4 linked regions of the Canis lupus familiaris genome follow. The protein of the gene in region 1 interacts with the protein of each later gene in a biochemical or structural test. Links are inferred from orthologs where the notes say so. Each region holds a gene or a part of one and is shown in the gene's direction. Other genes may lie near its edges. The genes, in order: NEDD4L, NDFIP2, SGK1 and UBE2E3.

What was found.
Region 2: of the proteins of NEDD4L (region 1) and NDFIP2, one has a biochemical effect on the other in vitro, tested with the Homo sapiens proteins (2 studies listed by BioGRID, with this or other methods). The link is inferred for Canis lupus familiaris from reciprocal best matches to the Homo sapiens genes NEDD4L and NDFIP2.
Region 3: of the proteins of NEDD4L (region 1) and SGK1, one has a biochemical effect on the other in vitro, tested with the Homo sapiens proteins (5 studies listed by BioGRID). The link is inferred for Canis lupus familiaris from reciprocal best matches to the Homo sapiens genes NEDD4L and SGK1.
Region 4: the proteins of NEDD4L (region 1) and UBE2E3 form a complex in vitro, tested with the Homo sapiens proteins (3 studies listed by BioGRID). The link is inferred for Canis lupus familiaris from reciprocal best matches to the Homo sapiens genes NEDD4L and UBE2E3.

The regions. Positions count from the first base shown.
Region 1 is NC_049222.1:18,067,870-18,075,877, reverse strand, and holds the start of NEDD4L (E3 ubiquitin-protein ligase NEDD4-like), read left to right. Parts: upstream 1-3,096; 5' UTR 3,097-3,164; coding exon 3,165-3,212; intron 3,213-3,957; exon of another isoform or gene 3,958-4,236; intron 4,237-8,008. UniProt on the Homo sapiens protein: E3 ubiquitin-protein ligase that mediates the polyubiquitination of lysine and cysteine residues on target proteins and is thereby implicated in the regulation of various signaling pathways including autophagy, innate immunity or DNA repair.
Region 2 is NC_049243.1:32,849,648-32,857,175, forward strand, and holds part of NDFIP2 (NEDD4 family-interacting protein 2), read left to right. Parts: intron 1-2,468; coding exon 2,469-2,634; intron 2,635-7,528. UniProt on the Homo sapiens protein: Activates HECT domain-containing E3 ubiquitin-protein ligases, including ITCH, NEDD4, NEDD4L, SMURF2, WWP1 and WWP2, and consequently modulates the stability of their targets. As a result, may control many cellular processes.
Region 3 is NC_049222.1:27,423,930-27,432,159, reverse strand, and holds the start of SGK1 (serine/threonine-protein kinase Sgk1), read left to right. Parts: upstream 1-3,836; 5' UTR 3,837-3,900; coding exon 3,901-3,969; intron 3,970-8,230. UniProt on the Homo sapiens protein: Serine/threonine-protein kinase which is involved in the regulation of a wide variety of ion channels, membrane transporters, cellular enzymes, transcription factors, neuronal excitability, cell growth, proliferation, survival, migration and apoptosis.
Region 4 is NC_049257.1:24,631,205-24,638,732, forward strand, and holds part of UBE2E3 (ubiquitin-conjugating enzyme E2 E3), read left to right. Parts: intron 1-3,223; coding exon 3,224-3,356; intron 3,357-6,960; coding exon 6,961-7,108; intron 7,109-7,528. UniProt on the Homo sapiens protein: Accepts ubiquitin from the E1 complex and catalyzes its covalent attachment to other proteins. In vitro catalyzes 'Lys-11'- and 'Lys-48'-, as well as 'Lys-63'-linked polyubiquitination.

The DNA.
Region 1 (8,008 bases):
TCACCTGTTGTACTTTAAAATTGTTCTTGCTAATTTTTCATTTCTGATGACCTAATGAAGAGCATTCACCAAACACCCACGGTATCAAATCTTAGATGTTTAAAGGCAGCCTCCAAAGGGAACAAAACGGAACAAATTCTATGCTAATTGTTGGGTAGACGGGAACCTGACTGGAGGATGCAAGAACACTTTGGCTTTGGACGAGAATGCCAAATAGTTTCTCTTAAGGGTTGTCCTCCCCACACTACCTACCCCCCACCCCCCAAAAAAAAGTGGATTGCTATTCTGAGACTTCAGGGTGCTAGGGGGCATGTAGAACTGGGCAGTCCATAATAGTCCCATTAAGTACATATGTTTATATCCTACCTCCTTCCACAAAGGATGTATGTTTATAATATGCAGTTTTCTCTAAATTAAAAAAATCAGGATCATAGAAAATATGTAGAGAGTAGGCTAGAGATCCCTACATTTTGCTCTTAGAATCTCCTGGAGCGCCTCTATAAATCCTGATGCCCACGTGGCACCCCACATCAACCAGATCCGTGTATGAGGGAGGGAGACAGAGAACAGTAGTTCTAAAGATCCCCAGGTGTTCCCGTGTACAGTGAAGTTTGGGAACCACCGGCAGAGGCTGCCATTCTCAACACAAACATTAGCATCACCTGGGAAACCACTGGAACTACTGATGCCTGCACTCCTCCCCTGAACCAATGTTATCATAGTCTCGTATGCTGGCAGCTGAGCACTTGGTATTGGGCACTGGATCATTTTAAAGCTCCCCAGATGGTAACAATGTGCATTCAGCATAGAGAACCACTGCCTTGGGGGGAAGCCGATTCGTAATTACAACGGGTACTGATTTCAATTTTTTATAGGTTCTCTTATGGCTCACAGCCTTAAAATTGGTCCTGAGTTTCCTGGTGGCCAAAGTAAATAGAAAAACAATCATTTGAAATAGTTCTCCTCATCGTATGTAAAAGCTTACCAGTTCCTTGGAAGAAAGAAAGCTTTTCCTCATAGGTCTGAAATGTCTCGAGTCTTCTTAACAGGGGCCATTGAATAATGGTATGGATCATGGTTTTATAAGCACCCCTACAATAAATGACATATGGTCAGTCTCACATCGTAGTTTCTAATTGCCATCCCTAAGGGAAAGCCAAGGATATGACCCAAGAGTGCCAGTAGTGTAGGCTGTTGGGGTGGGGCAGGGGAGCAGGAATGATGAAGAGGGGATAAGGGAAGTATGAGACACCTCTATGGTTTCCAGAAGTTATGGCTTTCCCCAGAGATAAAGCCTGGACCTGTGTACCCCCAGTGTGCAGGAAAGGTGTCCTATATCATTAGAAATTACAATTCTCTATTTGAAAACTTTAAAATCTATTACGCCCCCTCCACCTCCCAGGGTACAAGGCTTGGCAAAGTTTTGGGGTAGTGAGGGTAAAGAAGCAGTGAAGCCTATGGGAGTCACAGGCACCATGTTAAAATTTGGGGGGGGGGTGTATGTATGTGCACAGGTGTGCATGTTAGAGAACCTTTTGTTTATTAAAAGAAAAACAATCTAGGTCTGAAAAAGTGAAAAAACTTTGGCCCAAAAAGAACAGACCGGTCATTTCTGTTCCTCCATAAAGGTAATTTTCTTTTTTTCCCCCTCCGTTGGGCTTTTCTGGCATCTAAGTTCTGTTGACTTAATAGGACACGATTTGCAGACAAGAAGGCTTCGCAGGACAGTGCTGGCTCCACGGGGTTAAGTCTTGCAAAGAAACCCACCATACAGACCCATACAGACGCAGGGCACAGGGTTTTAAGCCACAGCAGTGTCACCGGGAGGCCTAGGTGGGGGCGGTAAGGTGGGGGATGCCCATTTTCTTTCGAAAACGATCTAGCAGGGCCCACAAGCAGATATTTTAGCAAAGTAGCTGGAAACAGGCATAAGGACGCTCATGGATCACGTGAGTTCTCCTTTCTTCCTCGAAACATTCTAAAAGCGCCCTGTTCATTCCAAAGTAGACATTCTGAGTGAGGCTTCTTTTCAAAGGAAAAATCGCATATTGTGCTTATAAAAAGACAAAAATTCGCAACTGCCTTTACCAGCTAAATTTAAGGAAAGGCTTCCCGGAAAAAGTGGAGGGATGCATTTCTTTCGCTTATTTAAAAGTCGTCGGCGGCGTCCCTATGGATCTTGGGGGTGACCAGGAGGGGATGTGCTCCGGGAGGCACCGCGGCCGGGACGCGGGAGGAGCCCGCCCGGGTCTGCACGTGCGGGGGGCGGGGGCTCCCCGAGCTGCACGGTCTCCCGCGGGGGCGCCCGGGCGAGCGGAGCCGGCTTTGCTCAGGGGGGCGGGTGCGCGCCGGGGCGGCGCGGCCTCGGCCTCGGCCTGCGCCCCCGAGCCTGACCCAGGCAGTGGCGAGCGGCGGCCACACCGGGGCAGCCTCTCCCCCGCGGGCGGCCGGCCGAGGGGTCCGGAAGCATATGCCCGCCTCCCCCCCGGACCATCGCGGCGCGCTCGGGGCTCGGGGCGCAGGGAGCGCGAAGGGGGTGGCCCGGGGCGCCCCGGGCGCCCCGCCCCCGCCCCCAGCCCCCCACGCCCAGGCCGCCCCGGCCCCATTGCGCGCGCGGGGAGGGCCGGCTCGGGGCGCACCCCCGCTCCCGCCCCCGCCCCCGCCCCGCCAGCCCTCGAGCGCCGCCCCCGAGCCCCGCGGGTGGGGGGGGCCTGGGCCCCGAGCCCCGCCGCGCGGCCTCTGATTGGCTTGGGGGGCGCGTGCGCCCGCCCCGGCGAGCGGGGAGGGTCCCCCCGGGCGCCGGGCGGGGGCGGGGGCGGGGGCCGGGGCGGGGAGAGCGGGGGCCGCGGGGAGCCGGGCTCGGGCGCGCGGAGAGCCGGCTCGGAGAGCGCCGGGGAGGGCGGCCGGCGGGCTGGGCGCGCTCCCGGGGCCGCCTGCCTGCACCGCCCCGCGGCCTTCCGGGAGGAAGCGGCGCCCGCGGCGGCCGGGGCGGGCGCTCGGGGCGGGCGCTCGGGCTCCCTCACCTGCCGGCGCCCGGGTCCCCCCGCAGCCCGCCCGCGGGACGCGCCAGGCCGGGCGCCGAGCAGCGCAGGAGCGCAGGAGCGCAGGAGCCGCCGGCCCAGCCGCCCGGGAGCGCCCCGCAGCCCGCGGGGGGCGCCGGCTCCATGGCGACCGGGCTCGGGGAGCCGATCTACGGACTTTCGGAGGACGAGGTGAGCGGCGGCCGCCCGGGTCCCGGCGGGCGCGGGGTCTGCGGGCGGGGTGCGCGCCGCCCTGGGCCGCGGGGACGGAGACGCGTGCGCCCCTCGGCCGCGCTCCCGGGCTCCCGGGCAACTTCCCGCCGCTCGGCCCTGCGGCCCGGGAGCCCACGCCGCGCGTCGCGGCCGGGTGTCGGCGGGACCTCCCGGGGCCGAGCGGCGGGCGCCCCGGGGCTGCGTGCGCGCAGGGGCAGGGGCAGGGGCGGGGGCCGAGGCCGGCGCGCCCGGGGGTCCCGGGGGTCCCGGGGCGGGGGCGCGGCCAGGGGCGGCAGGTGCCGCCGGAAACTTGGAGGGAGCCCGCAGCCCTGCCATGTCTTCTTTTCTTTTCTTTTCTTTTCTTTTCTTTTCTTTTCTTTTCTTTTCTTTTCTTTTCTTTTCTTCCTTTTTTTCCTCGGCCCCCCCCCCCCCCGGCTTCCGAGCCCGGCACCCCCGGGGTAGGTGGAGAGACAAAAGCTCAATCGCTCCCCCTTATTAATAAAGCAGATGCGGGAAGCCACGCCCCCGAGGCTGTGGCTGCGCGGGGTGAGCTTTGTTCGCGGCCTCCGAGGTGTCCCCGCGGCCCCCGCCCCCCCGCCCGCCCGGAGGGGACCCCGCGCCCGCGCCCGCCTCGGCCCCGGAGGGCGGGGACAGGTAGGGGGGCCCGTCGGCGGGGCGCGGGCGCGGGGCTCCCGGGGGCGCTTTACGGCCCTCGGTGCATTACTCAGCGGGGAGGTATTTCCTCTCCTGGTCGTGCGTTTCATGAAAAGTTGATGCCTGGAAATTCGAGGGTTTCGGGCTTTCTCTTTCTTCCCCCTCCTTTCTTTTCCGAGGTCCCCTCTTTCTCGGGTGCTGGGGGTGGGGTTGCTGGAGAGGCTGTTATCCGGACCTGCCCCGTGATGGCTTCTCTCTCTGCAGCTTTCCTGCCCTGGTTGGGGGTGTGTGTGCGTGCGTGTGTGTGTGTGTGTGTGTGCTTTGCAAGTGTGTGATGGAATCGTGTGTGTGTGCTTTGTGACTAATGGAATTGTGCGTGTGTGCACTTTGCAAGTGTGTAATGGAATCGTGTGTCTGTGCTTTGTAAGTGTGTAATGGAATAGTTACCTGGGGGTGGAGAGAGTGTTTGGGGGTAGGACTTTTTTTTTTTTTTTTCTTTCTTTCTTTCTCTCTCGCCAGAGCTACCTAAAGCTTGCCTCGGTATGTATTTTATCAAAGAATGATCACAATGCAAATAATGTGTGATTTACGTTTTCGATTATTTTGCCCTGCTGTGCTCAGGGCGAGGTAATTTCCCCCTTTTTTGAAGGGGGGGGGCAGTTACCTGGGGATGGGTGGTGAAAAGGCTCCTTGTTGCTTTCACCCAGGGGTTTCTCCCGCTCCCCGGCTCCTCTACCCTTTTGAGGAGCTTTCCCTTTCATTCGGTACTTCTCCATTTAATTAGCAGCCCTAGATGGCAGGCAGTGAGCTTTTAGAAAGGTGCTGAGATACTGACATTCCTGAACAAAGGGCTTTTTGAGGTATGGTGGGGGGAAGACAGCTGCACTTCAGCTTTGGTCTCTTGTAAATTTTAAATTACATGATTCTTAGCGCACCAAAGAAAAATATATTAAGAGTGTTTGGAGAAATTCAACTTGATGAATGGATTCTCTGCGTGCCCCTGTTGTGTGTTCTTTGTTTACATTTATATCTAGTGTCACCATCTACCTAGGGCACATCCTGCCTCTTTAGTTAACTCAGATCTCCTTAACTGGTGTCCAGTGTGAAAGCGAAGGGTGGAATATAAACAGAATTGGTATGTGTGTGTATATACGTGTGTATGTGTATGACTGGGTTTACTCCTGCACGTCGCTGGACCGGTGTTTAGGGCTGGTGTGGGGAACAGCCCAAGGTGCTAAGGCCATTTTCTTGATTGAGTGATGGATATGTTGCTGGGACTATTAAGTTCCTTCCGCACGTTAGATTACAAAAGACAAGTGGCATCTGTTGTCTTTTTTCAGCTTCTACCAGTGGGGGGGGGGGGGGGGGGAATAAGGCAAGACTGTTTTTGATGACTTCACATTTCTATGGTGTTTGCTTTTTTTATGGGAGGTATCGCACCGTCGGGTTAGCCTTTGGAAAATCAGGGAATGCCTTCGTAGAATATTAACAAATTGTTGAATTTGCACAGCTTGTTTTGTCTCCCTGAATTAGTCTGTGTAAGAAAACAAATGAAAGATCTTAACAGGCTCTTAAAGCAGACTGGCTCATGAAACCAATGGCAGGGTTGTTTTTCCAAGGCGTGTTAAGTATGAGTGCACTTCAGTTCACACACTTGGTGTGCTGCCGAACATCACACGTGAAGATATGTTGATTGCTACATAAGAGCTATCTTACACATCTCTTAGCAAACTAGGTGTCCTTATACCTAGCACATTTCTTAAAAGTGAGTTTGTATTTTCATTGGAAGTTGATGGAAAGCGTTGCGTGTTTGGAGCGCACTTAGCTTTCTGTCCCATCTCAGAAAGATTTTTTAGCTCTAAGTACTACTGGTGATGAAGCATTGCAGGGGGATGCCAAGACAGGATCTTGCTCCCAGGTCTCTCCAGCTTGTAGAAAGAGAGGAATTAAATATGGGCTTTGCTTGTGTGAGTGCGTGTACTGTTTATTTTTTGTGTGTCTTGTTGAGGTTCCTCAGTGAGCTCAAGCTCCTATTTACTGATTTGAATCAGGTCACCTTAGGGAAACCAAATTTGAAATTGCCATCAGATGAAGGACTTTGGTGTTTGAGAGATTAGCAAATTAGCAAAACTTGTGACTCTGGGCCCAGCATCAGATTTGGTTTGGAATTAGAACAGTTGGACTAGTTGCTGCATCTGGCTTGGTTCCTGGGCAGTTTTTTTGTTGTGCTTTTTGTTTTTATTTATTTTGTTTATTTTTTTTGGCAATCTGTAGCACATTTTGGCAGTTTACTCCGGAGTGTTACTGTTAACCTTGTGAAGTCTTTTTGTTGGAACATCTTAGAAAGGTATCATTTATTGAAAAGATTTCTGGGTGGAATACTAAAGTCTGAATGACAGCTTATTAGATGCGGCAGTTTTTTGGTGGTTACATGAGACAGATGGCCGGGCTGATGTGGGATAGCACTTTGACAGCCTTCCTCTGCATTATATACAAACAAGAATAGTTGGCTAATGTTTCATATGCTTTCTCTGCATCTAGCACCGTGTTAGCAAACTTTATGTACTTGCTGTCTCGTGTAATCCTCACGAACCTCCTAAGAGGTGTGCCAGGATTTACAGATGAGGAATAGAGGCTCAGAGAGGTTAGGTGACCCTTAGAAGGACACACAGTAAGTACGTATGGAGTCAGGATTTGAACTCCATTCTGTTGATTGCACAGGCCTGGTTTGTAGCATTCTTCCTGTCTTCCAGGTATCATGAGATGTCTTCATAGCCGGGTTGTTGAAGTTAATTTGCAGTGGAGATAAACATCAGGAGTTGTAAACTGAAGACTTGCAGGTCTGAGTTGACCAGGAGGCTGGCTTAGTATGGTCTTCGCTGTGCTTTAAAGCTCGGGAAGTTTTACAGAAAATGGCAAAAATCTGACCTCACTGGGGCTCCATTCTCACCTGGCAACAATTGTGTCCACGTTGTGGGGACAATGGGGAGGTGGTAGCTGTGCTGCAGTTCCTGCTACCCCCTCTACTGCTTATCGTTTTAGGGTTCTTTGAACTCCAGAACAAACATTTAAGGTTAACCTTTGGCCTAGGTATATTATCTTGAAGATGCTGTCAACCTTAAGATGCACCATTATCTTCTGTACCTCTAAGAGAGAAAAAAGTTGCTGTTGCACTATGATACACCGCTCATTTTATTATTATTATTTTTTTACACTGTTCATTTTATGGAGCATCCTTATTTCAGGCTGTTGCTGAATTCCAGACTCTCGTTAAGGGCCAGCTCTCGGACTCGTACCCCAGTCCTTCACTTTGAAGTCAGTTGCCAGTCAGATCGCTGCCTTTCTGTTTCTGAGAAAAGGGGTAGCATAAGGGAAATGCCCTTCACTGGGCATTGGCGGAGAAGAAACAGGGAGCCTATGAGATAGGCCACCCGAATAGCCATCTGTAAGTAATTGAGGGTAGCTGTTAATTTTTAAAAAATGGTCCATGTCAAGAGATTCCTTGAGATCCTGCGTGCCATCTTTGCAGCTGTGCAAAACAATTGCAAGATTGCGTTTGGAAATTAGTTTAGATATTGTTTGGATCTATAGGTGGTGCTGAACAGTTTTGTAGAGGCAGGTAAGACTTGCCCAGTTGTTCCAACTCCAAATGCCTGAGTCCAGCCTTGCAGAGCTGGCTGATGTGCTTTGTGCCTAGGTTGATGTGCTTTACTCCAGTTACAGTCTGCATCGTGATTGCTAACGTTTAAGAAAAACCCTAAAAGGGGACTAGGTTTTGTTGTGACACTTAAAAGCAATTTTATAAATTGGTGAATATAATGTATTGTCTTAAATTCTACTCTTATTGAATTTTTATTTTCTTCAAGGGTCCTATGGAATTTATAGAAACTGACGTCTTAATTTATGTTCAGTTTTATTAAGTGCTTAATTTTCTCATTACTGAAAAACAGTTTCCTTAAAGAGTAAAAATGATTTTGTTCAAAGGGGTGAGGACCGTGGCAAAACGGAAATCCCCAGACGATCTTGGTTTCTTTACCGTAGCAGAACACAAGGGAACTGATTGGACATCTCAGTGCAGGGAGGACCTACATCTCCAGGAAACTTCTTGCAAAGTTGTTTCA
Region 2 (7,528 bases), on another chromosome or scaffold:
GGTAAGGAGTGTTTCTTGTGAGGAACCAGAGGAGAGCTATTTTGTCATATAGGATCTTTTTCTTTAGTACACTTCATCCACATTTGCAGCATTAAGAATAGAGATAGGACAGTGGTTTTCCTTTTTTTGACACCATCACTGTTAATTGTTTAGTTGATAATGGTAAGTTTATACTATATACTTAATATAAGTATATTTACTTTATTTGCTTTAACTTGCTCATCTAATATTTTTGCTCTTCAAAGTATGATCAAAGATGGAACTCTCCTGGGTACCTTGTAATAGGAAACATAGAAGATGCTTGGTGACGCAAGACAGAGTGTTGCTAGTCAGGAGGATGGTCATGTGATGCCTGCTTAGAAAACTGCTGCAAGTAAATACAAAACTCATAGAAAATTCACTTTATGATTATTTGACCTTAAATTCAGTATCTGTGAGTAAATGTTATTACCTAAACCTTGGTGTTAGGGGAAAAGAAAAAAACAAACTTATTAACTTGAGGAATGATTTTAAGTATGTTTATGGCAGTTCTGTTACAATAGAATTTATGAACTCACAGAAGTATCATGCTAGTGTGATCACTAACCAAGACACATACAAACAGTAGTGAAGTAAATTTTACTTTGCATATATATATATATATTTTGAGGCAAGGGAATAACTACTTATTGGACTGATAGCACCAAATTATTTCAGGCCACAAAATAAAGTATATTAAATTAGAGGGGAAGGAGGAAACTAGTATTTATTAAATGCCTTCTGTGTGTTAGGTGTTAATGTTAGATGCTTTTCAAATGTTATTTTACAATTCTATGAGGATTTTGGCTGCATTTTGAACTTAGACTTGGAGACACCGAGGAACTGAAAAGAGGTTTATCAAAGCTCCTAAAAGGGGGAACAGAAATTTGCATGCTCTTTTTTTTTTTTTTTTCCTCACTACATCACAGAACTCAGATTTGTGTGTGTACAGATTTGCTCTGCGACAAAATTTATTTTGGGGATTATTTTTAACATTGAATTTCTTTAAAGTGCAAGAATAAATTAAGGTATGAAAATTGAATAATGTTGAAGACCTGTAGTTTCTCTTCAAACCAAGATTCTAGCGAATTTAAAAGTATCTTAAAAAATCTAGTAAGAATCTTTTCCGAATATATTTTAGGTGAATTATAGTACCTCTTAAAATTTTTTAGAAAAGATTTTATTTATTTAGTAGAGAGAGAAAAATCCCAAGGGGTGGGGGAGCGGAGGGAGAGGGAGAAGCAGATTTCCCACTGAGCAGGGAGCCCTATGTGATGCAGGGCTGGGCTCATTCCCAAGACCCTGAGATTATGACCTGAGCCAAAGGCAGTTGTCTATTTAACAGACTGTGTACCAAGGCATGCCTTTTCGATGAGTCACTTTTTTAGAGTATTGATGCTTTTGGTTGACCTATAGTTAGTTTGCCTACATGTTATTATCATCTCCTAACAAATGAGCATTTAAAAGAATACTTATAAATGAAGTAATAAGTCCATAGCCCTACTGCTTAGGTTTGATTCCTGGCCTTACCCTTCCTAGCTGCTGTGATGTCTGGCAAGTTACTTTAGATATCTACATTTTCAAGGTTGTATTCACCCCCACCCTTTTAATCTGTCAAATGGGATAACATTCTCTATTTCATAGATTTGTTGTGAGGATTAAATGAGTTAAACGATTGCAGATCCAAAATATTATCTTGCACTTACTGAGCTTTCAATAAATATGTTGTGTTGAAGAACATCTTCCAGGATTTTACATTGGATTGATTGATCTTGCTTTATAAGTAATTCTTTGGGTACTTGAGAAAAACATCAGAGTATTCTACATTTTTGGAATGTTTATTATTTCCTTTTATTAATTCAGGTTACATTTTCAATTATGCTAGATACTAGTGTAATAGAAATGGTATTGTGGTTTTATTATTAGGTGCTTTACTTTTCACCGTAGTACACAGTGATTAACACATGGTAGACAATATTTATGGTAGGATTGAATGAATTTGAATCTATTTGTAGTCATGATTTTTTTCTTTATGCTTTCTTAATTTGAACTTCATTTTTACTGTAAAGAAACAACCAAAATTTAAATTCTTCATGACTACTTAAGTCTCTTACAAATTTTGTTCATCTTTTTAAATGGTTTTACTTTGTTTTTAGCTAAAAAATGATCCTTTCCCTGAAATAATCTTTAAAAATTCTCTTAAAATTAAAAAAAATAGAGACGCCTGGGTGGCTCAGCAGTTGGGCATCTACCTTCAGCTCAAGGTGTGATCCTGGAGTCCCAGGATCGAGTCCTGCATCGGACTCCCTGCATGTAGCCTGCTTCTCCTCCCTCTGCCTATGTCTGCCTCTCTCTCTATCTGTCTCTCATGAATAAGTAAAAATCTTTAAAAAATTTTTTAAAATAATAATCAGAATGACATTAATACTTCTTTTTCTTTGTTCTCTTAGCTTCACAATGAAGAGGATAATTCAGAGTCATCGGCTCTAGAACAATCATCAACTTCAAACCCAACACCACAGATCATTCAGACCACTCCTTCAGCATCGGTACTTGAAACGGAGTCTTCTCCTCCACCTTATAGTAGTATTACTGTGGAAGTACCTACAACTTCAGGTATTGTTTTTAGTACCAAACATTTAGTAATACTTTTAGTAGTTCAGGCTTTTTTTTTTTTTTTTAAACTAGTGTGGTTTTGTTTAATTATAGAGTTTGTTAAAGAGGCTTCCTGGTTTTATATATTTTTTTTTAAGAAAGGTTTTCTCGAAGGACAGTTTGTAAAATACTTATTCATAAATTACTTGTCTCTTATTTTTGCTTTCAAAAAAATTACAAGTGTAAACTTTATTATGCTTACTAGAATCTATTTCTAATGGAGTAGCATATTCCTTTTGGAAGAAATAAATTGTATATGCACAAAATTCATTTATGTATATATATATATAGACACATGCACATATAGATACATACATGTATATATACACACATACATATTTGTGTTTGTCTATGTCTACTTATATAGTTATAAAACAAGGTGTTATTGATGCTGAATGTGAGCAGGAATGTGGTATGTATGAACAGAGGTGAAGGGTGCACATAATTTAATCATATACACGGTAATAATTCCTGGACATGAAGCAGTGGTTCCTGTGTCCTACTATTCATTGTATCTCTTCAGGTCATTCTGGAGAACTACCCTCATCTATTTCTCTGGCCACAATTTATATTTTCCCAGTAATGCTAAATTAATTATTTTATATATATATATATTTTTTTTTTCTTTTCTTTTTTTTTTTTTTTTTTACTTTTATTCCAGTAGAATTAACATACAGTGGTATACTAGTTTCAGGTTTACAATATAGTGATTTAACAATTCTGTATTTTACTTAGTGCTCATGATAAGTGTACTCTTCATCCCACTCATATTTCGCTTATCCCTCTACTCACGTCCCCTCTGCTAACCATCTATTCTCTGTGGTTAGTAGTCTTTTTTTTTTGTTATGTCTCTGTGTTTTCTTTCCTTTGTTTTGCTTCTTAAATTCCACATATGAGTGAAATTCTGTGGTATTTGTCTTTCTTTGACAGACTTATATCACTTAGCATTATATAGTCTAGCTCCATCCATGTTGTTGCAAATGGCAAGATTTCATTCTTCTTTAAAAGGCTGAATAATAATCCATTGTGTGCATGTGTATATATCATTATCCATTCATCTATCAGGGGGCACTAGGTCGGCTTCCATAATTTGGCTATTATAAATAGTGCTATAGTAAATACAGGGGTGTATATATGCTTTTGAATTAGTGTTTTCTGTTCTTTGGGTAAATACCCAGTAGTGTGATTACTGGATCATAGGGTAGTTCTATTTTTAATTTTTTAAACCTCTATAATGTTTTCCACCGTTGGCTGCACCATTTTGCATTCCCACCAGCAGTACATGACTGTTCCTTTTTCTCCACATCCTCACCAACACGTTTCTTAATATGTTTTTATGTACTATTATAAATAACCTCTAAATATTTTATACATTCATTATGAAACATTCTTTAAATCTGTTATAAAAATTTTAATACTAAAAATCCCTTCACTAGAATATTTCATCTTTCTTATCTGTTATTCTATAATTAGTATCATCATTTGTCTTAAACTCTTGCCAGCTTTCTCTGATTACCATTTCTGCTTCTATAGATTTTATCTAGACCACATGGATTGTGTAGAACGACCAAACCATTTACTTTTTTCATTTACAATTTTATGCAGTTACTGAAAATCATCTTTATGAAGGTTTTCTCACTGATAAATTAATAAATGATTACTCCTTTTATTTGTATATAATGTTTATTTAGATCAATATGCTTGTTTAGTGCCAAGTTTGATGGACAGTTTTTATATTGATGTATAGCAGTTTTATTTATTTTATAATTTAATTGTTGGATTGGTGCTTGCTAAAATTTATTATGGGCTGAATTTTCTTCTTCTTATTCTTTAAGTTTCCAGAATATAGTTCAGTGAATTTGCTATCCTAAATTAAAAAAACAAAAAAACAAAACCTATTTGATGGTAGTCTTAAAGAAAGAAAATCAGTTGTTTTGCTGATGTTTGTGTATGTTTTTGAATGATGGAGGATGGTAAGATTAAAATTGTAATATTTTTGGTTGTTGGCCACCATTGCCACTGCTGTTTAACAAGCTAAATGGAGTAGAGCCATTTATTGTTATTAGTTCTTGTGGATTTTGGGGTGGGGGAGGCCCAATTATGCAGTATTCTCCCAAGATCTCATGTGATTATTGTCTTGTGGTGACCTGGAGCTCAAGTCACCTTGATTCCTTCCTTATTAACATATTTGGCAGCTGATGTAGGCTTCAGCCAGGGCCTCAGCTGGGCCTATTGGCCAGAACACCTGTATGTGGCCTCTCATTTTGGCCTGTGCTTCCTCCCTGAATGGAGGCTGGGTTTCAAGAACAAGCATTCTGAAAGCCAGATAGAAATTCTATCACTGGAATGCCTGGGTGGCTCAACAATTGAGCATTTGCCTTCGACTCAGGGCTGATCCCCAGGGTTCTGGAATCGAATCCTGCTTTGGGCTCCCTGCGAGGACCCTGCTTCTTCTTCTGCCTGTGTCTCTGCCTCTCTGTCTCTCTCATGAATAAATACAATCTTAAAAGAAAAAAAAACAAAAGAAGCTCTGTCACCTGTTATGGCATTGTCTCAAAAGTTACACAGTGTCATATCTGCCACATTTGGTTTGTTAGAAGTGAGTCGCCAGGTTTAGTCTTTATTCAAGAATTAGTCTCTACCTCTTGATGAGAAGAGTTTCAAAGACTAGAGTGAGTTTCAGCACTGTCACAACTGTCTCCTGCCTCTTCCCCTATCACCAGACCTTTTCCTTTGTCACTCTTCTTCATTTCAGTAAATGGCTCCAGTAGGCCAAAAGCCTTGAAGTCATCTTTTTTGGGACCTTATCACAAAATTAAATGTTTTTTCTCCTGTACTTTTCAATGTAATGAAATATGTTATTAATAGATTTATTTTTTAAGCCAATTTCTGTACTCTTAGAATAAATTATCACCATGTTCGCATCTCTTCTGGATATAGATTTGTTAATATTTTTTTAGAAATTTTACAGTTTCATTAGTGGGATCTTTATGTACTATCCTTATGGTTTTAGTATTAATATTATGGAAGCAACATAGAATGAACTGAGAAACTTCTCATTTTTCTATGCTCTAGAATAGTTTTGATAATAGAGCATGGCATTTTTAAAGGTAGGTAATTTTCAGTTGTAAGACAAGTGGAGCCTGCTACCTGGCTGTTCAATTATTCTTATAATGTGTGTGACTACTAGTCTCAAAATTTTATTTTTACAACTGTACTAAAAGACCATTCATGATTGTTACTGAGCACAAGAGTTAAGTTCTAGAAGTTTGCATCTCTTTAATGAAAACAATTGATACTATTTTTCTTCAGCCTTTTAGTGTTGTATTTTAAGCATTGACAGTACCGATTTTCTGTGGAGGTTATGTTCTTCAGTCAGTTACTTTCCAACTGGGCTTACAGATCTGAGCGACATCAGTAATAATAGTTGACATTTGTATAATGCTTTTACAGCTTACAGAGTCCTCTTGAATACTTTTAAATTCTGTCATACAGCAAGTAATAGCCTTTCTGGGTCAGTTTTATGGATGAAAATGTAGAGCTTCATAAAGTGCTTAAGTGACTTGCTTGAGGTCACACAACTTAAGGAGCTGGGACTGGAGCTCCTCAAACATTAAATTTTCTGGTTGAGAACTGCTACCTTAAAGGATAGACAGAAAATAAGTAAAATTAACCAGTGAAAATTAAAGCAGTAGCAAAATTGTGCTCTTTCCCAACTTTCATCTGTTACTGGTTAGGATATTTTTGTCTATCGTGGGAGTTTAAACTTTGAAAGCTTACATATCTGTTGTTAATATAAAAGATCTCTCTTCTTGGATAATGTATGTCATTGTTCCAGTTTTTAAATTTCTACTTTTAATGTTAGTGCCTTAAAATTCATTGCTTTCACTTAAATTTTCCTTCTAGTCTTCAGAACTGAAGAAATCTATTTACTTGGCCACGTGTGGTGTTTTTACATCTGAATAAGTATTTTCTTTTCTTTTTTTTGAATAAGTATTTTCTAAGAATTTATGACTCTTGTGCCTTTTTGGTGTTTAACATTCAGTAGTACACTGCCGTTAGCACTTCCTGTCATTGGATTAAAAATTGCCCAGCTTTAGATCTTTAGCTCTTATTGATAGCATTAGCAAAACTTATTTTAAAGTCAATATACATTAAAATATAATAGGAAAAGTATTGCTAGAAAGAAATGTGTTCTCATGTTGGAAATGCAAAAAGTTCTGATGGAGAAAATGTACAAATACTGTAGTTACAATGAGGAAATCACAGAAATTATAGCGTGGACTACTATGAGAACCTACTTGTTTTTCATGGCAGTGATTCTAGCATAAATCTAATCAGTTTATTGACCTATATGTATCATTTTACTTGTACTGCTTTAGATGGTGATAGGTATGCAGGTGTTTTGTTTCTTTTTAATTAGCACTCTGGACTTTTGTGTTATGTTTCTAGAGGTCATATTTTAAAGAGAGTTTAAAAATTGGGGAGGGAGAAATTACTCATTAAAAAAAGTCTAAAAAAACTAGGTTGATGGGGGGGGAAGAGTAAAAAAAAGAGCTAAGAATTGTCAGGTTTTTGTTTGTTTGTTTGTTTTTGTTTTTTTAAGCAATGAGAGATGCTGAGTTTGCCGAAGAGATTCAGGCAGTTGCTAAAACTGCCTGTAGAAAAATGAACCTCACATATTATCAGAGCAGATAGGGGGAATCAGGAAATCCCTGGGTTCTGCTACTTACTGATTGTGCAATACTGTGCAAATTACTTTTCTGAAACTCAGAGTTGCTAGGATTAATGTATATGAAAGTGACGTATTAAATGGTTAAGTGTTATTCCTGATATTTCTATTTCTTTGGCTGTG
Region 3 (8,230 bases), about 9.4 Mb from region 1:
CAGTAGTATTTGTTTCTTGTTTTAATCAAATAAAAAATGTAAAGTTTATTGTTTTGCAATGCCTTTTCACATATAATTTGGCACTGACAATTTCTCTACGAGGTAAATGGGATGAGTTTGATTGTAGCCTTTTACAGATGAGAATACTGAGGCTCACTGACCTGAAGGGACTTGTTCAAGGTCACATGGAGGTCACCATAGCTTCCATATCAACTAAGTATTCTCTCCACCTCCTGTATAGATGAGTCATCAGTTCTACCCAGCTACTTTATTTTTTGTGTTATAGGTCAAATGATACTGTTGAGAGAAAAACAGTGAATATTTTACACAGAAACAAATAGAGTTTCCAGGGATTATTTTCAACATTAGAGTTTTCCATAAAAAGATTTGTAAAAAAAAAAAAAAAAGAGAGAGAGATAGAGAGATGTGTCATCCCAGGGTTGCAATGCCATTGAGGCTTAAAGAAGAAATGGTGACAACTGCGGATCCTTTGGTCTTACTAGAGCTCAGTACATTGGTTATGATGGGATTCACTGAATTGTTTCAGAATCTCAAAGGTATTTAATGATTCACACAAATGGTCTGTGCCAGAGTCATTGATGTTAGCTTTTCATAGTTTTTTATTTGATTTCTTAGAAAACCATTTATTGAATGCCAAGCATGGTCCAGGCACTCCACAGTAGGCAGGGGCTACAAAAATGAATAAGCATTTTTTTTAAAGATTTTATTTATTCATGAGAGACACAGAGAGGCAGAGACAGTGGTAGAGGGAGAAGCAGGCTCCATACAGGGAGCCTGACGTGGGACTCCATCCCGGGACTCCAGAATCATGCCCTGGGCTGAAGGCAGGCGCCAAACCACTGAGCCACCCAGGGATCCCAGAATAAACATGTTTAATGAGAAAAGCAGGTAAGTAAAGAAATTAATTCAACTAATAAAGCAAGTTTAATGTACAATCAGGATGGTTGAAGAAACCCTACTTTCCTTTTTGCCATAAGCAGCAGTCTATGCTCCTTCATAAGTACCAAGAACCCTGGCAAAGGAGACAGTGAGTACCTGGTAGTCACTCTGGGCCTACCTGCAGGTAATTTTATAAAAATAGAGGTAAGAGTGATATGAGAGATGCCTTGTTTTCTCTGAGTAGCCAACACAGTGTTGGCTTACCAGATCCAGCACATTTCTCTATTATTGCAGTGACCGAAATAGAGTCCAAAGTAATACCCTGACCTGGCCAGAATCCCTGCCCTATACTTCTCCTTCATCTGGCCAACTTCTACTCTTTCTTTAATGCTTTGCACTAACATTATCCCTTGCAAAAAAACTTCCCAGGCCTCCTCTGCCTACTCTAAACCACCTTGCCAGGCCTCCAACTGCAGTGGGGATAATGCCAGTACAGATATCATTCTTGCCACAGTGTATATTTTTCCACTAAGCTGTAACTTCCTTAGAGACAGAATCTATTGATACTTGTATTCACAGAATCTTCCCTAGGATTACCATAGACTCAGAGACAGTGGCAACATCTCCAAGGGATCACATATACTGGGGCAGAGGGAGAGGATTTTTTACCTCTACCTCTACCTCTTCCCCTATAATTTCTATTAGCCAACCCTCTTTACCCCAAATAAACATACAGTATACTTAAAACCAGTATGCCTGCTAGGTCAGTGTAGAACTAAGGCAAGGCCCCTAGCATCCCTTGCCTACAGGATGCTCAGAGAGCAACTTCGACATATCCCTCAAACTCAATAAATATCTGTTCACATGCCTTCCGGAGAGAAGAAAGTTGAAGAACAGGAAAGAATTTGAATGGTCATGATTTTTAAAAATCAAGTTTACAGCACTATAACTCACATACAGCAAAATGTTCTTCCTCTTTTCATATAAAAGTTTGATGACTTTTGACAAACGCATAGTCATAAAACCACCATCATGATCATGGTGGGAACATTTCTACAATCCTCAAAGATTCTCTCCAAGCTACCAGAGTTTTAAATGAACTCTTCAGAAGAACCACAAAACCGAATACTGTCATGGATTAAATAATGTATCCTTGCATCTTGGACAATTTAATGTATATCTCCAAAATGAATGGTCGATTTTTTTCCATCACTCATAATGCCATCATTTAGTTGTGTTTAGAAATCTCAAAGCATTTAGCAAATAAGATTGAACTGTCATTTCCCAAAGAAACTTGGTCCAGCTCTAGAGGTTTATACTCCAATTCAATGAAATGAACACATCTCTTCCCATTTGGCCTGTATGTTTCTCTTCTAGGTATATTGTTTTTAATGAGTTGGCCATTTTTTTTTTATCAAGTTGGCATGTGCCTTCCCCTTACTTATCAATTACACTCCTTTGTGACTATGAAAAGGCTCTGCATCCTGGGGACACTTGGTACATTTGGATTTGATTTGATGGATAAATGGAATGACACAGCAAACAAGTGAATGAGTAAATACACAAGTAAATGAAGGAAGGAAGGAATGAGCAGTTGCCTCCATTTCATGGATGAGGCACTGTCTGAGAGACACCATGAGGTCAGGTGACTGGCAAAAAGCCATACATTAATAGGCTAGCAGTGCCAGATTAGATGCCAAGCTTATTTTCTTTGCTGTCTCCATTTACCCATCAACTCTCATTTTTGAAAGTCTCCATAAAATATCAACATTAAAGACTAAACACGGAAAAACAGGCCAGACACAAATTAAGTGGTGTCTTAAAAATGAATTTAATGTGCAAAGAATGACATGAGTAAGGGTTTCAGGGGTAGCTTTCCACTTGATAGGAAACGGCTTTCTTCTCATTCATCAGGACTTCCTTTCCATCACATGGATTCAGTAATACTTTTTGGTGATGCTCTTTGTGTTTTTTGTTTGTTTGTTTGTTATGTTTTTTTTGTTTTTGTTTTAACCATAAGGCACTTTGTATATGTCCATTGTGTTCTTTTTAAACGGCCTTCTTTAGTGAAAAAGACAATTACTTTCACTATTGCCCACTAGATGATGACAAGTGGGGAGAGGACACTAGAAGGGGTTCTATATATATGGTTAGTGTGAGATCCTCCATTGTTCTACCTACGCTTGCACCACATTTCATTTTCCTCCACATCTGAACAGATCAGGATTGAATCTGATCACATTTCCATTGAGAGACTCCCTGTATTCAGGAACACGTACCAAAAGAACGTCAGTGAGCATAAGACAAAAACGGTCTGCGTTTCCTCTGCCACTCTGATCTAAATGGTCCCAACAACAAAAAAGTAAAGAAATACACTATTAAAGTAGCCCTCCCGAGGGGTGTCAACTGCTCTCCGGTGCGTCCCAGCCCAAGCCTCCTCTCCCGGGCGGCTCAGATATTCGGGATCCGCGGCGCCTCCGCAGCGCGTCCCCCCCCCACCCCCCCACCCCGGCCTCTCCGGCTCCCCCCTCCCCCGCTCCCCCGCTCCCTCCCTCCCTCCCTGAGGCTTCTGCTCCTTCTTACTCCTTCTCTCGGCTGCTTCACCGCAGCTCCCACCGAACTTGCGCGGCCGCAGCAGCCCTCCTCGGAGCCGCCCGCCAGCCGCGCGTCCCCCGGGCCGCCAGGTAGCGGGGGCGCGCACGGGGAGCCCCTCTCCGGGCCCGCCAGCCGCAGAGCATCTCCCGGGGCCGCCGGCCGCCGACGCCCGCCGTTCGCCGCCGCGATGGGAAGAGCGAAGCCACCGGCCGTGGCCACCGAGAGCGGGGAGAGGTTGCCGCAGTAGCGGCGCGGCGGAGCGAGCGAGCGAGCGAGCAAGACCCCGGGCTCCGCGTCCCGCTGCGCCCTCGCTGACTGTCTCCGGGGGGCGGGCGGCCGGGCCCCGCGGCACCCACCGGGCGCTGCCACCCTGGCTCTGTCGCAGCGAGCTCCCCGCTGTGGAAAATGGTAAACAAAGACATGAATGGATTCCCAGTCAAGAAATGCTCAGCCTTCCAATTTTTTAAGAAGCGGGTAAGGACAGGTTTTGTTCCTTTTGTTTTCTGCTCTTCTCGGAGACGCTCGAGTCGCTGGCCCGGGGTGAGCCCCAGGTTCTCTTGCAGCGGCCGGAGAGAAGGGCGGGCCGCGGGAAGCGTGGTCCAGCTGGGAAATATCCCTGCCTCGATGCCCCTCTGCGGGTGCGGGTGCGGGTGCGGGTGCGGGCGCGGGCGCGGGCGCGGGCGCGGGCGCCTGGGAGGACCGGGTGCGCTGGGCTGCCCTGGCGAGGGTGCGAGCGCCGAGGGGGCATTTCTCAAAGCCACGAGATGACGGGCGGTTTCTAAGAGAATTGGCCCCGGGTGCAGCCCCGGCTAGTACTTCTTCGGTCAGGGACCAATTCAGTAGCTCTCCTCTCTCGTCGTGGAAGGGTTCAACTTTTTCCACACCTTTCATTGACTCCGTTTCGGCTGATATTTTGCCGTCTTCATTGCAAGCGGCAGCGTCCAGCTTTCCAAAAACGTTCAGCCGGGAACTTGCCGGGTCTCTGTCTATGGTAAAAATAGCAAAGGACGACAATGACCTTTTGCAGAAATGATGGAATCCAGCATTTTAAATCCTCTATTTCAAGTTGCCTCGATGTTGCTCGGTTATGACTGCCTTTCTTTTAGCGAGAACAGTGGATGGTCTGAATCCAAGTGACAAGATGGGGTTATGCTGCTGTATACATTTATTCCTCCAATTCCTCCTGCTTCCATTCATAGCGTGAACATCACTTTGCTTACAAATGAGCAAAAGAAAAGGGGTGGGGGAGGTCTTTTTTGTGTGTGTTTCATGATAAACCCGATACATTGTGATGGTCACGCTCTGGTCTGTATAAACCGACAGATTTATACACAAGTGGGAGGTATGAAATGAATGATTGTTAAGGGACCGATGACTGACACTCTTGTGGAGAGTTTCGTAAGCAACAGAACCTTCCTTCCACCCCTAAATGCCCTGTCCTATTTAATCCTCTAGGGCAATTCCATCAAAATGGCTCTCTCCATTCATTCTTCCCATCCTTCATTCAGATCCTCTCTGTGCTGTGCCTGACACAGGGTCCTTCATTTAACCCATCAGCAGAACACAGTGAATTCCATACTGGGCCAGGCTACCTTCCTGCACCAAATGGGCAAGCTGGGAAAGCCGTGCTGGCAGCAGTAAGTCAGGCCCAGCTCGAGGTCCAGCACTGGCTCCCCTTGACTGTCTCATTGATACGGCACAGCCTTCCCCCAACTCCATGGGCCAAAACATATGCATTAAAACCAAAGCAAGACCACCCTGTCCTTCCTGCTGCTCCTGGAGATCCCTCACTACTGAAGATTGCAGGCTGAAGCAAATCAAGTCCGTGCAACTTCTGAGAGCTCTGCAGTATTTCTTGGTTTTCCCTGTAGTCAAAATGCTTCTTTCCAAGGAATGGGCCCCACTCTGAAAACTAATCTCCAACAGCAAACAAATGTTTTGCTGCTAATAATAATTTCTTAAAATGTCATAGCCCATAATTCAGTGCTTAAACCCTTAACTCTGTTTTAATTAATTAATTAATTAATTAATTAATTTAGTGGTATTGGTGGGAGTGGGATGAGGATGGTATTTTAAAACTCGGTCAGGGCAGCCTGGGTGGCTCAGCGGTTTGACGCCGCCTTCCACCCAGGGCCTGATCCTGGAGACCCGGGATCGAGTCCCACGTCAGGCTCCCTGCATGGAGCCTGCTTCTCCCTCTGCCTGTGTCTCTGCCTATCTCTCTCTCTCTCATAAATAAATAAAATCTTTAAAAAAATAAATAAATACAACTCGTCAGTTAGGTTATTTATTTATTTATTTTTAATCAACCAATTAGCTGTCAGGTAGAATCTTTTTAAGTGTTACTTATTTTCTTTGCTATCAAAATGCACTAATAGATACATAACTTACCGTCTGGTTTCTTTTTGCTTAAAAGCATAATTTACCCATCGTCTTCAGCTGGCACCTCTGTTGACCTTTAGTTTTGCAAAGAACTAGCTGCGGTTTTATCTGAGTATTTGGCAGGGAGTAGGAGGTCTATACCAAGATTTTCTGGCCAGCAGCTTCATCTACCTTCTAGAGCTTGGGTTTATCAGTTGCTGGAGATAGAATCAGAAATCCCCCTACTGGTCTCCTTGCTCCTCAAGGACGGCAAAATCAGCAGAATGTGACTTTGTAAGAAGTCATGGATAGCCCCAAAGATAAATTCCTTGATTCTTGTCTACTGGTATACAAATTCTGTTTTAAAAGCTCATTTCATTTTGTACCAGGACTTTTGCTTTAGGCTTTGCTCTTTTGTTTGTTTGGTTTTGGGGAGGTTTTTTGGTGTTTCATTATACCACCAATATTAAATAAATGTGTAAAACATCAAGACGATGCCAAAGTAAGTCCCACCTCTTCCCCAATCTCTCCCAGACATAACTGCTGCAACCATGTCGGTGTTCATAACTTCTAGCTTTTTTCTATGCATCTACATACACATTCATATCCTAGAATGTCTTCGTTTTCAGCTAAGAATAATCTATTTTCCCTTTCTTCTATTGTTGAAGTTCCACACATTGCTGCATATTTATTTTTAACCTAGATGGACAGTCTTACAAAGTGAGGCTTTGTTCAGTGCCCACATAAAACCATGAATAGATCTTGGGAAAAAAAAAAAAAACCCACAGGTATTTTAGGGCTCACGAGAAAGACTGAGGCTTGGACCCAAACTATGATTGCAGAAGGCTTGAGGGGTGCTCCTGCCACCTGTGAAACATTCCAAAGGGAGCACCAAGAAACTCACCAGAGGGAAATACCAATGACTTGCCCCATCATTCATTTAGAAGAATAAGTGTAGCTGCCATTTATCCACTGCTTCCTACATTCTGGAAGTTGAGGGCCAAGTACTTTACATATACAATCTCATTGAATCCTCACAGAAACCCTATGAAGTAAGAGAAATTATTAAATGTGCAGAGTGTGGCTTAGGGAGATTAAACATCCAACCCAAGGTCACGTAGCTAAAAAAGTAGCAGAGCTAAAATTTAAACTTTGTTTAACCCAAAACCTGTGTTCTTAGTCCAGACTTCTGATTGCAAATCATCCTCCTTACCTTTTTTTAAATTTTCCACCATAAAATCTTTTTTTTTTCCAAGTGAAATTTTATATTTCTATGCGAGGTATCAAACCAATAGAGGCAGCCGATCCTCAGCAGACAAGCTTCTGGAAGTTCCTTTTCAGCGCACAGTCTGAAGACAAGCAGTCTTGGAGCTATTCCCCCAAATCCTTCAGACTTATGCTTTCCACTCTCATGTCTTAAAAGCTCAACTAAATCAGCTTAATTTCATTTAGTTGAGACTTGCTAAGCTAAACTCCATAAGAGTTCTACTTTCAATGTCTCCATGTTAATGATAAGTTCGCATTAGATGCCTCTGGATTATCTTTTATTCTCAGAGTCTGTAAAAATTCACTTAAAATGAATGGGGAAATGTCCTTATCAGTTTTATTTGCACAATCCAAGAGCTTTAAAAGTTATCAGTTGTGCCAACGATAATCCATTTTCATGGATTTAAAGACCCGTTCATAATTTAGATTCTTGCATTATGACTCAGAAAACACAAACAAATGGCATGGTCTTCAACTTGATAATCTTCTCTGGAAATACATTAGGTATGTATAAAAGACTTCTATAGCCATAATTATATTGTCTTCTGTAAAATTTCAAAGAATATCTAGCCATATAAAATTTTGGAGAAATTGACCTCCCTGTTTTAATGATGAGGAGACAGTATCAGGAAGGTGAAGACACCTGCTCAGATTAGAATGGGGCTAAGCACTGCTCACTTGTAGGGTTTTCACTCTTAGATCTAGTGTACTTTCCTCCTCATCATGACCTCTAACTGGTTCAGTGCTTCATGCCTTTTCCATTTGTTTTCTTTTTTTTCTTTTTTTTTCTAAGATTTATTTATTTATTTATTCATTCATTCATTCATTCATTCATTCATGATAGACATAGAGAGAGAGAGGCAGAGACACAGGCAGAGGGAGGAGCAGGCTCCATGCAGGGAGCCCGATGTGGGACTCGATCCTGGGACTCGATCCTGGGACTCCAGGATCACACCCTGGGTAAAAGGCAGCGCCAAACTGCCAAACCGCTGAGCCACCCAGGGATCCCCATGTCCATTTGTTTTCTAAACAATAGAGTAGGAACAAAATCTAGCTCTTGTTTTCATAGAATTAACTGCCTAGTGACCAACTTTGACAAGATACTATT
Region 4 (7,528 bases), on another chromosome or scaffold:
TGACACCTTTGTGAGAAGGAAAGGGGCTCCTTATTCCAAACGAGGCCGCCAACACAAGGGCTGGATTGTAGCCCTCACCCGCCTTAGGCTCAGTATTCTTGGAACAGTAAAGGAATCCTACTACCATAAGCTGGGGCCTTCTTCTTCAGTGTTCCCTGAGACAACAAGGAAAGTCACATTTATTATTCTGCTGTAATAAACATATCATTTGTCCTGTAGCAAAACAGCATAAATGAGAAGAAAGCAAACTTAAGAACCAGTACAAATTTCGTGTAGGAATGAATCCCAGTCCTTCTGCCAACTGGCAAAGGGGATTTAAGACGCATCATATACTTTCTGTGCCTTGTTTTTTTCAACTGTAAAGGGTGGGGGTGGGGGGGTCGGCTTCAACCAGTTTCTTTTCAGTCTGAAATAATGCGACTCATTAGAATATAGTAATCCCCAACTTTTGTGTATCCCTTGAAGCATAGCATATTCCTGTAAGAACTGAGAAATAGCACTGAGGAAGTTTGGTTTTGGGTTTTTGTTTCTGTTGTTTTGTTTGAGTAACAGCACCCCTTGAATTTTTACACAAACAAACATTAGCAAAATTTGAAGATTAAATTAGATGTAGCAGCACTGAAATTAGTAAGAGGAAATATATAGCAAACCATTGAGGACAGTACAGACTAGTTCACAGACTGTCCAAGTTCTGTCTGAGTCATTTTTGGCTATGGGACATATGGAAAGTTATTTAACTCTCTGAACCTTTGTTTCCTCATCTAAAAATAGGAATGTACTAATAGTACCTACTTCATGGATTTGTAGAGAGGATTAAATGAGTTATGCACTATGCTTTGAACAATGCCTGGCTTGTGGTAAAGATGGAATAATCCTTAAGTAATATTGTTTTTAGTATTTTTTATTACTATTACCACTACCACAGTGTGACATGTATAGTTTAGCAACATTTTAGTGAAGTGGCCATATCATAAAAGTCTTTGACACTATAATTTAATTGTATAATGATTATCTTAAGTCACCAAGGGAAAAATTTGCTTGGAAAAAGAAATGCTCTTGAAACTGGTTAAAACCCTTTTTCGTTTGTTTACAAAATTAGGACTCAATTTTATGTTTTTAGTTACAATAAAAATTCACTTAGGGAATATAGCTGATTCTCAAGTGATGACAGAACAGTGAGCCATTATTGTGATTAGTTTCAATGCTGTGTATACTTGAATCATATAAAACAGTATTTATTTAAAAAATATTTTTCCCTACATAGGCCAAAATAGTAAGATTTTATTGTTGATGTACCTACCTTAAAGATAGGTATTTAAAGCATGCTGCCAACATTTTGATTATACCATCAAGTTTTCTACACCCTTTCTGTATGAACTATTTTTCAGAGCATACATTTGATTATTGATAACATCATTTACCTGACTTTACAATTCAGTTTGTTTTACAGAATTAATAAGATACAGTTAAATTATTTTAACTATACTTAAGTCCTATTGTGATTAATGTGGACTATTTATCAATGCAGGTTTATCCTTATTTCAAATCAAACACGCAGATCATTTCTAGACTCTAGTGGTCCCTTTAAAAGAAGAAATGCTGTATATGCATTATATATATATATATATATATATATAGTTCAGAAAGTCAAGATAATTTATGATGTTAAAGGTCAGGGGAAAATGGAAGTCTGTAGGTAAATTGGAAGAGAATTTAAGGATTGTTCAATGTTCCTTACCAGCCAATAATTGTGAGGCTAAATTTTATTTGAATTATCTCTCTTTTTCAAATTTTATAAATGAAATGATAATATTGTTGAGCACAATGCAGTGTACCTGGAACTCTAGCACCTAGCATTGACCATTCCCTAAATGTGAGACTAAAAGGAACCAGACAGAGCTCCTTAAGGAAACGACTGATTCCAAAGCTGGAATCCTGAACATCTAGTTATGCCAGAAAATCAAAGAAGTACTTATAAATTACAGCAGCCTGTCACAAGACTACAGGGGCCATTTTGAAGGATCTCCCACTGGCCAAATTTAGGATAATTTGAGCATCAAAACAATTAAAGGTGGTGATGAATTCTATATAAATCATTAGAAAAAGTAAGAATCCAGGAAACCACACCAATAATACACAGATTCATACCATTGGAACAAGAGAGGGATCAAGGGCTAGCTGGTAAATGTGGAGGAAATGCTGAATTTGGAAAATCATGATTTTATCACCATCACAGTGCAGTTTAGTTCAGCCAAGAATCACCGTTGGGTGTTGAATCTAGGGAAGAAATTTTGATGAAGAGCAGAATATTGGTATGGTCGAAAAGTATCTGTCCAAAGGTTATTTATTGATTGCAGGGGAAAGATAATAAGCAGTAGGAAAATCGGACAGCACTTGATCTAGATGATGAAAATTAACATCACCAATTAGAGATAAGTGAATGAATACCTTGGTACCGTGAGAACACATCACTTACGTACTGCCGTGGCTGGGAATGCACTGTCTGCATCTAATTATGAGGAAACATCAGATAACTCCAAAAAAGATGAGGATTCTATTAAAAGAAGGAGGTGATAGGGAGGGAGATGAATGTATTCTTAAAAAATGTTAATGTATAAAAAGTCCAAGGTAGAAAGATTCCATGTTAAAGGAAACTAAAGACATGGAACGTAGATGATCACAAGACTGGATTCTGTATCTGGATGGAAATTAAATTTTTTAAAAGGCGTTATTGAGTGTGGACATTATTTTGCAGATTATAGGTTAAAGTGTGTTTTACTGATATATTTACTAAAATTGTAGCTGCATTGTGATTATATTGGAAGTTAATTTAGGAAATGTGCACACTAAAGTATTTATGGGGAAAGGCTTACTCTCAAATGGCTTAAAAAAAGCACTGGGTGTCGGTGTGTGCGTGTATACACAGACACAGACATAGAAAGCATGGGAGGGAGGGAAAGATGAAACAGCTAATGGGGCAAAATGCTAACAAGGAGATTCTGGGTAAGGTTATACTGGTATTCTTTGTTCTTGAAGTTTTTCTGTAAATTTGAAATATTTGCACATAAGTTTATACATTTGTATGTACACATTGGGGCTTATTTCTTTTATATTTATCTCATTGCTCTAGGTTGCTAATTTACCTTTAATACCTAATTGGTTTAAGATGTTAACATCCATTGCTTACAGATACACACATTGATCTTTAATTTCTTTTAAATAGTGCTGGGCCTAAAGGAGATAACATTTATGAATGGAGATCGACTATACTTGGTCCACCAGGTTCTGTATATGAAGGTGGTGTGTTTTTTCTGGATATCACTTTTTCATCTGATTATCCATTTAAGCCACCAAAGGTAAGAACCTAGATGTCCATTCTTTAATATTTATCCTTCTCTGAAATGCTAGAGATTAAATGTGTATTTATGTAGTCATTTTCATTTCATTGCTTTTCATGAAGTGATACGGAAACTCTCATGTAACCCAAGTATTTTAAAACTGAAAGAAATTGATTTCTGCCTTATACAAATAGCTTTATAATCAGCGGAAAGAGGGTTTGTTAATTGCAAATAAAAATATGCTACTTTGCATACCAATAAAGCAGATGCATTTTAGATTTATGTTTTAAGGGAAAATATCCTATGAACCTTCTTTGAGAAACATATGCGGGTAAAAAGTAAACAGAATTAAATAAGAATTAAATAGCTTGAGTTTTGTGCTCAATACCTTACCCTTACAGATCAGCAAAAACTAACAAACCATAGCAAAGAAGAGGGAAACTACTATTATTTAATCAGCTTACTTTGTGCCCTCTGTAGATACAATGTAGAAATGAGAATGAGGGTAGTTGGGTAGCTTAGGCCTCAGTTGGCTCTCAGTATGAACTGGATGGATAACAGAAGGGTTGAGTTGTGCCTTGTGAGGATTGGCAATTATTTTTCACGTCTTAAACATGACAATTACCTGAGTAGTTTCCTCCTCTCACTTCTCATTATAAAGTGGTCAAGCAAACAGGTAAAAACCGCCAGTATTAAGCCTGAACATAATTATGGTTTAGTTACAGGGACTTCTGACCTGTCAGGGGAAAAGTATGTTGTTATCAAGCCTCTAACTAGGATGAAATGTCTTTCCTTTCAACATAGTTCCTTATGTTCCCTACGCTATTTAAAATACATGTAGAGTTTAATGCCTGCACTCACCTGGATGCATAGGTGGGGTTGGGGTTGGGGGTGGGGTTGAGATTGAGAGAGAGTAAAAATTGAAGGTATTTTTTTTGAAACCCAAGATTATTTCTCCATTATCTAATAAGGTAACAACAGTTCCACCTAGTGGTATCTACCTCAAAATACAGACCCAGAGCTCCCTATCACCTAGAGGTATTTACTGTCAACTGGAGTTATCAGTGATCCCATCAGAATTTAAGATCTTTAAACGACTGTCTTATTGAATGTTTTCAAGTATGTAGAGTGTATCTTGCTAGATCAAATAAAGGAACAAAAAGCCCTTTGTTATTGATACTACAAATTGTATTCACATTCAAAATGACACGTTAAGTGCTGATACATCCGTAACTGCTCAATTTTGCATTCTTTGGTTAAGTTTCCCATATTACAGAAAACAAAACCACAGCAAAATAGCCATGGCTGTATTTGCAAATAGTGATACTTCTTTCCAGATGCCTCATTTTTCTTGAAATTGGTTTTAATGTGGCAGCAAAATTAGATAAAGTTTGCAAGATGTATTTTTTACAAAATTATTTTTGTGAGGGAAGATCTGTTAAAGAAAGACTCCTATTTTTCTTAGCATCTTTTAATGTAAAATAGAAATTGACTAACAAGAGTTTCAAACTATAGTTCTGTGTATGATTTATCAGTTGTTTTGGTTACTATAGTGGTTATGTTTTAACTTAGCATTAATTTTTTTTTCTGAAGTCTTAGTATTTTAATTTTCTAACCCTTGCATGTTGAATCATTCCTTTTGCCCAAGATCTCTCACACAGTGTTATGAACCACTATCCAGATCTGTGGTTGGACACGTGAAAAAGAAAGAATACTTCTGCTCTTATCTTGGTGTTAGGTATAATTATTTCTATACAGTTCTGCTTATTTTTGAGGTTCAGATAAGGTGTTGAACTTCTTGAGGGATAATACAAATTTAATTCTCTTCCATTCACCAATTATTAGTAGCTGAAAGGATTCAAAGTATTTTTAAAAATATTTTTTGAAAATATATTTATTTGAGAGAGAGAGCATGTGCACGAAAGAGCAAGCAGAGGGAGAGAGAGAAGCAGACTCCCTGCTGAACAGGGAGCTAGATGTGGAGCTCGATCCCAGGACTCTGGGATCATGACCTGAGCTGAAGGCGGGGCTTAATGGACTGAGCCACCTAAGCGTCCCCAAAGGATTCAAAGTATTAATTGCATTGTGTTTATAAACCACAGTCTGTTTAGTAGTCAGCTGTCGGTGATCTAAACATATATTATTCCCATATTCTAGAGCAGAAGTGTCTGACAAAAATAAGGCAAGCTACACATGTTATTTTAAATTTTCTATGAGCTACATTAAAAAGGGTAGAAAAAGTGAAATTAATTTTAATAACATCTAGTACATCCAAATTCTCATCATTTGAATATGAAACCAGTGTAAGTATTATTAATGTGATATTTTACACTCTCTTTCTGATACTGTGTCTTTGAAATCTGGTATATATTGTACATTTTTAGCCCATCTCACTTCAACTAGCCACATCTTAAGAGCTATAAAGCTAGTATGTGTACCCTATTACACAGAGGTTTTGGAGCTACAGTCTCTTCCTTTTTCTTATTGAATGTTTTCAGTTGAATGCTAGACCACTGGTTTCTTTTTGTTTTTTTTTTCTTTTTTTGAAATTTTCTTATTTTTAATTATGCATCCTTATCAGAAATATACTTTTGAGAACTTTTAATATTTTCTTTCTAGACTCCATCTGGGAGATCATGTAGTATCCTGCTAGTTCTAAAACATCAGGAACTTTTTCTTTTTTTCTCTGCTACTCCATATTAAGAATCAGGAACTTTTTCTTTTTTTCTCTGCTACTCCATATTAAGAATTAGCCACCCCATTAGTGTTGGTGACTGTTTAAAACTTGCCGGTACTTGTTCCTATGATTTATTCTTTTTTTTCCACATATCTCAGATGTATTAGTTTCCTTTATTCATTACCTCAGGACCTTGTTTCGTTTTACTGTCTTAGTCTAACAAGACGCTGAACCAACAGCAGAAATGAAAGGCTGAAAAATAGACAAGTGATTTCATCAACCTTCCTCTAAGTCCTTGGCCAATATTTTCTGATACATGACAGGACATTAACTGAGTTGATACTGATCTTTTCTACTAAGAAACTAATGTGACTTTTGTTTTATGGTAAAAAAAAAAAAAAAAAACTTCACAAGTTCCTTCTTACCTCTGGCACTAAAGCATTTCTGTTTTCTCTCACTTGCTTTACACAGAGAGCTGTATGTGCACACGTGTGCACGGTATATATGGTCATACATACATAGAATTATTGTATCATTCATTTAGCATAAACCAAGCAACCAAATCAGCTACTCACTTTGGTGTAAATTGATGAAGTTCCTTATCTGCTGGGTAAAAAAGGTTTAGTTAAATAAAACCGTTTACTTTTTTTTTTCTTTAATTAGGCTCCATGCCCATCGTGGAGCCCGGTGTGGGGCTTGACCACACTATCCTGAGATCAAGACCTGAGCTGAGACCAAGAAAGATGGTTAATCAACTGAGCCACCCAGGCGCCCCAAATAAAATCATTTACTTTGATGTTATTTAAACGTAGTATTTAATTAACTCTTCAGTTAAATTATTTTCTATTTAGTATCTATGATGTGTTACTCGTCACTTTTGCTGGTGAGAGTTTTAGTTGGTAATAGAGCATTCATTTTCTTTGTTTTTAATGGAACTGCCTTTAGGTTACTTTCCGCACCAGAATCTATCATTGCAACATCAACAGTCAGGGAGTCATCTGTCTGGACATCCTTAAAGACAACTGGAGTCCTGCTTTGACTATTTCAAAGGTTTTGCTGTCGATTTGTTCTCTTTTGACAGATTGCAACCCTGGTAAGCAAATCTTTATTAACACATACCGTGGGGCTACAGAAACCAGTGTGTTTTTGTGGTTGCTAAACTGTGGATTTGAGAAAGTAAATGCTATTAGTGGAAAGATCAGCATAAATCATTTTGCAAGGAAATTATCAATGCCATTTCATTTAGAATAGACCAGAAGTTTCACAATAACTTTTAGTTTATTAATGGCATGCTACCTATAATTATTTTCTTTCTGTCACTGATGGTTTTTTTTTTTCTTAATAATGTAGCTGTACAAAGCATGTTTGACAAGAATAAAGCAATGACTGGCACCAGTGTTTCCTTTTCTTGCACCTTCCATGCTACCATGTGCTTTAAAGCAGCCACTTACTAATGAAGGGCTTCTTAGTCTCCCTTCTCTCTTGGATTACAGTTAGTTGTCTTAGAGATAGT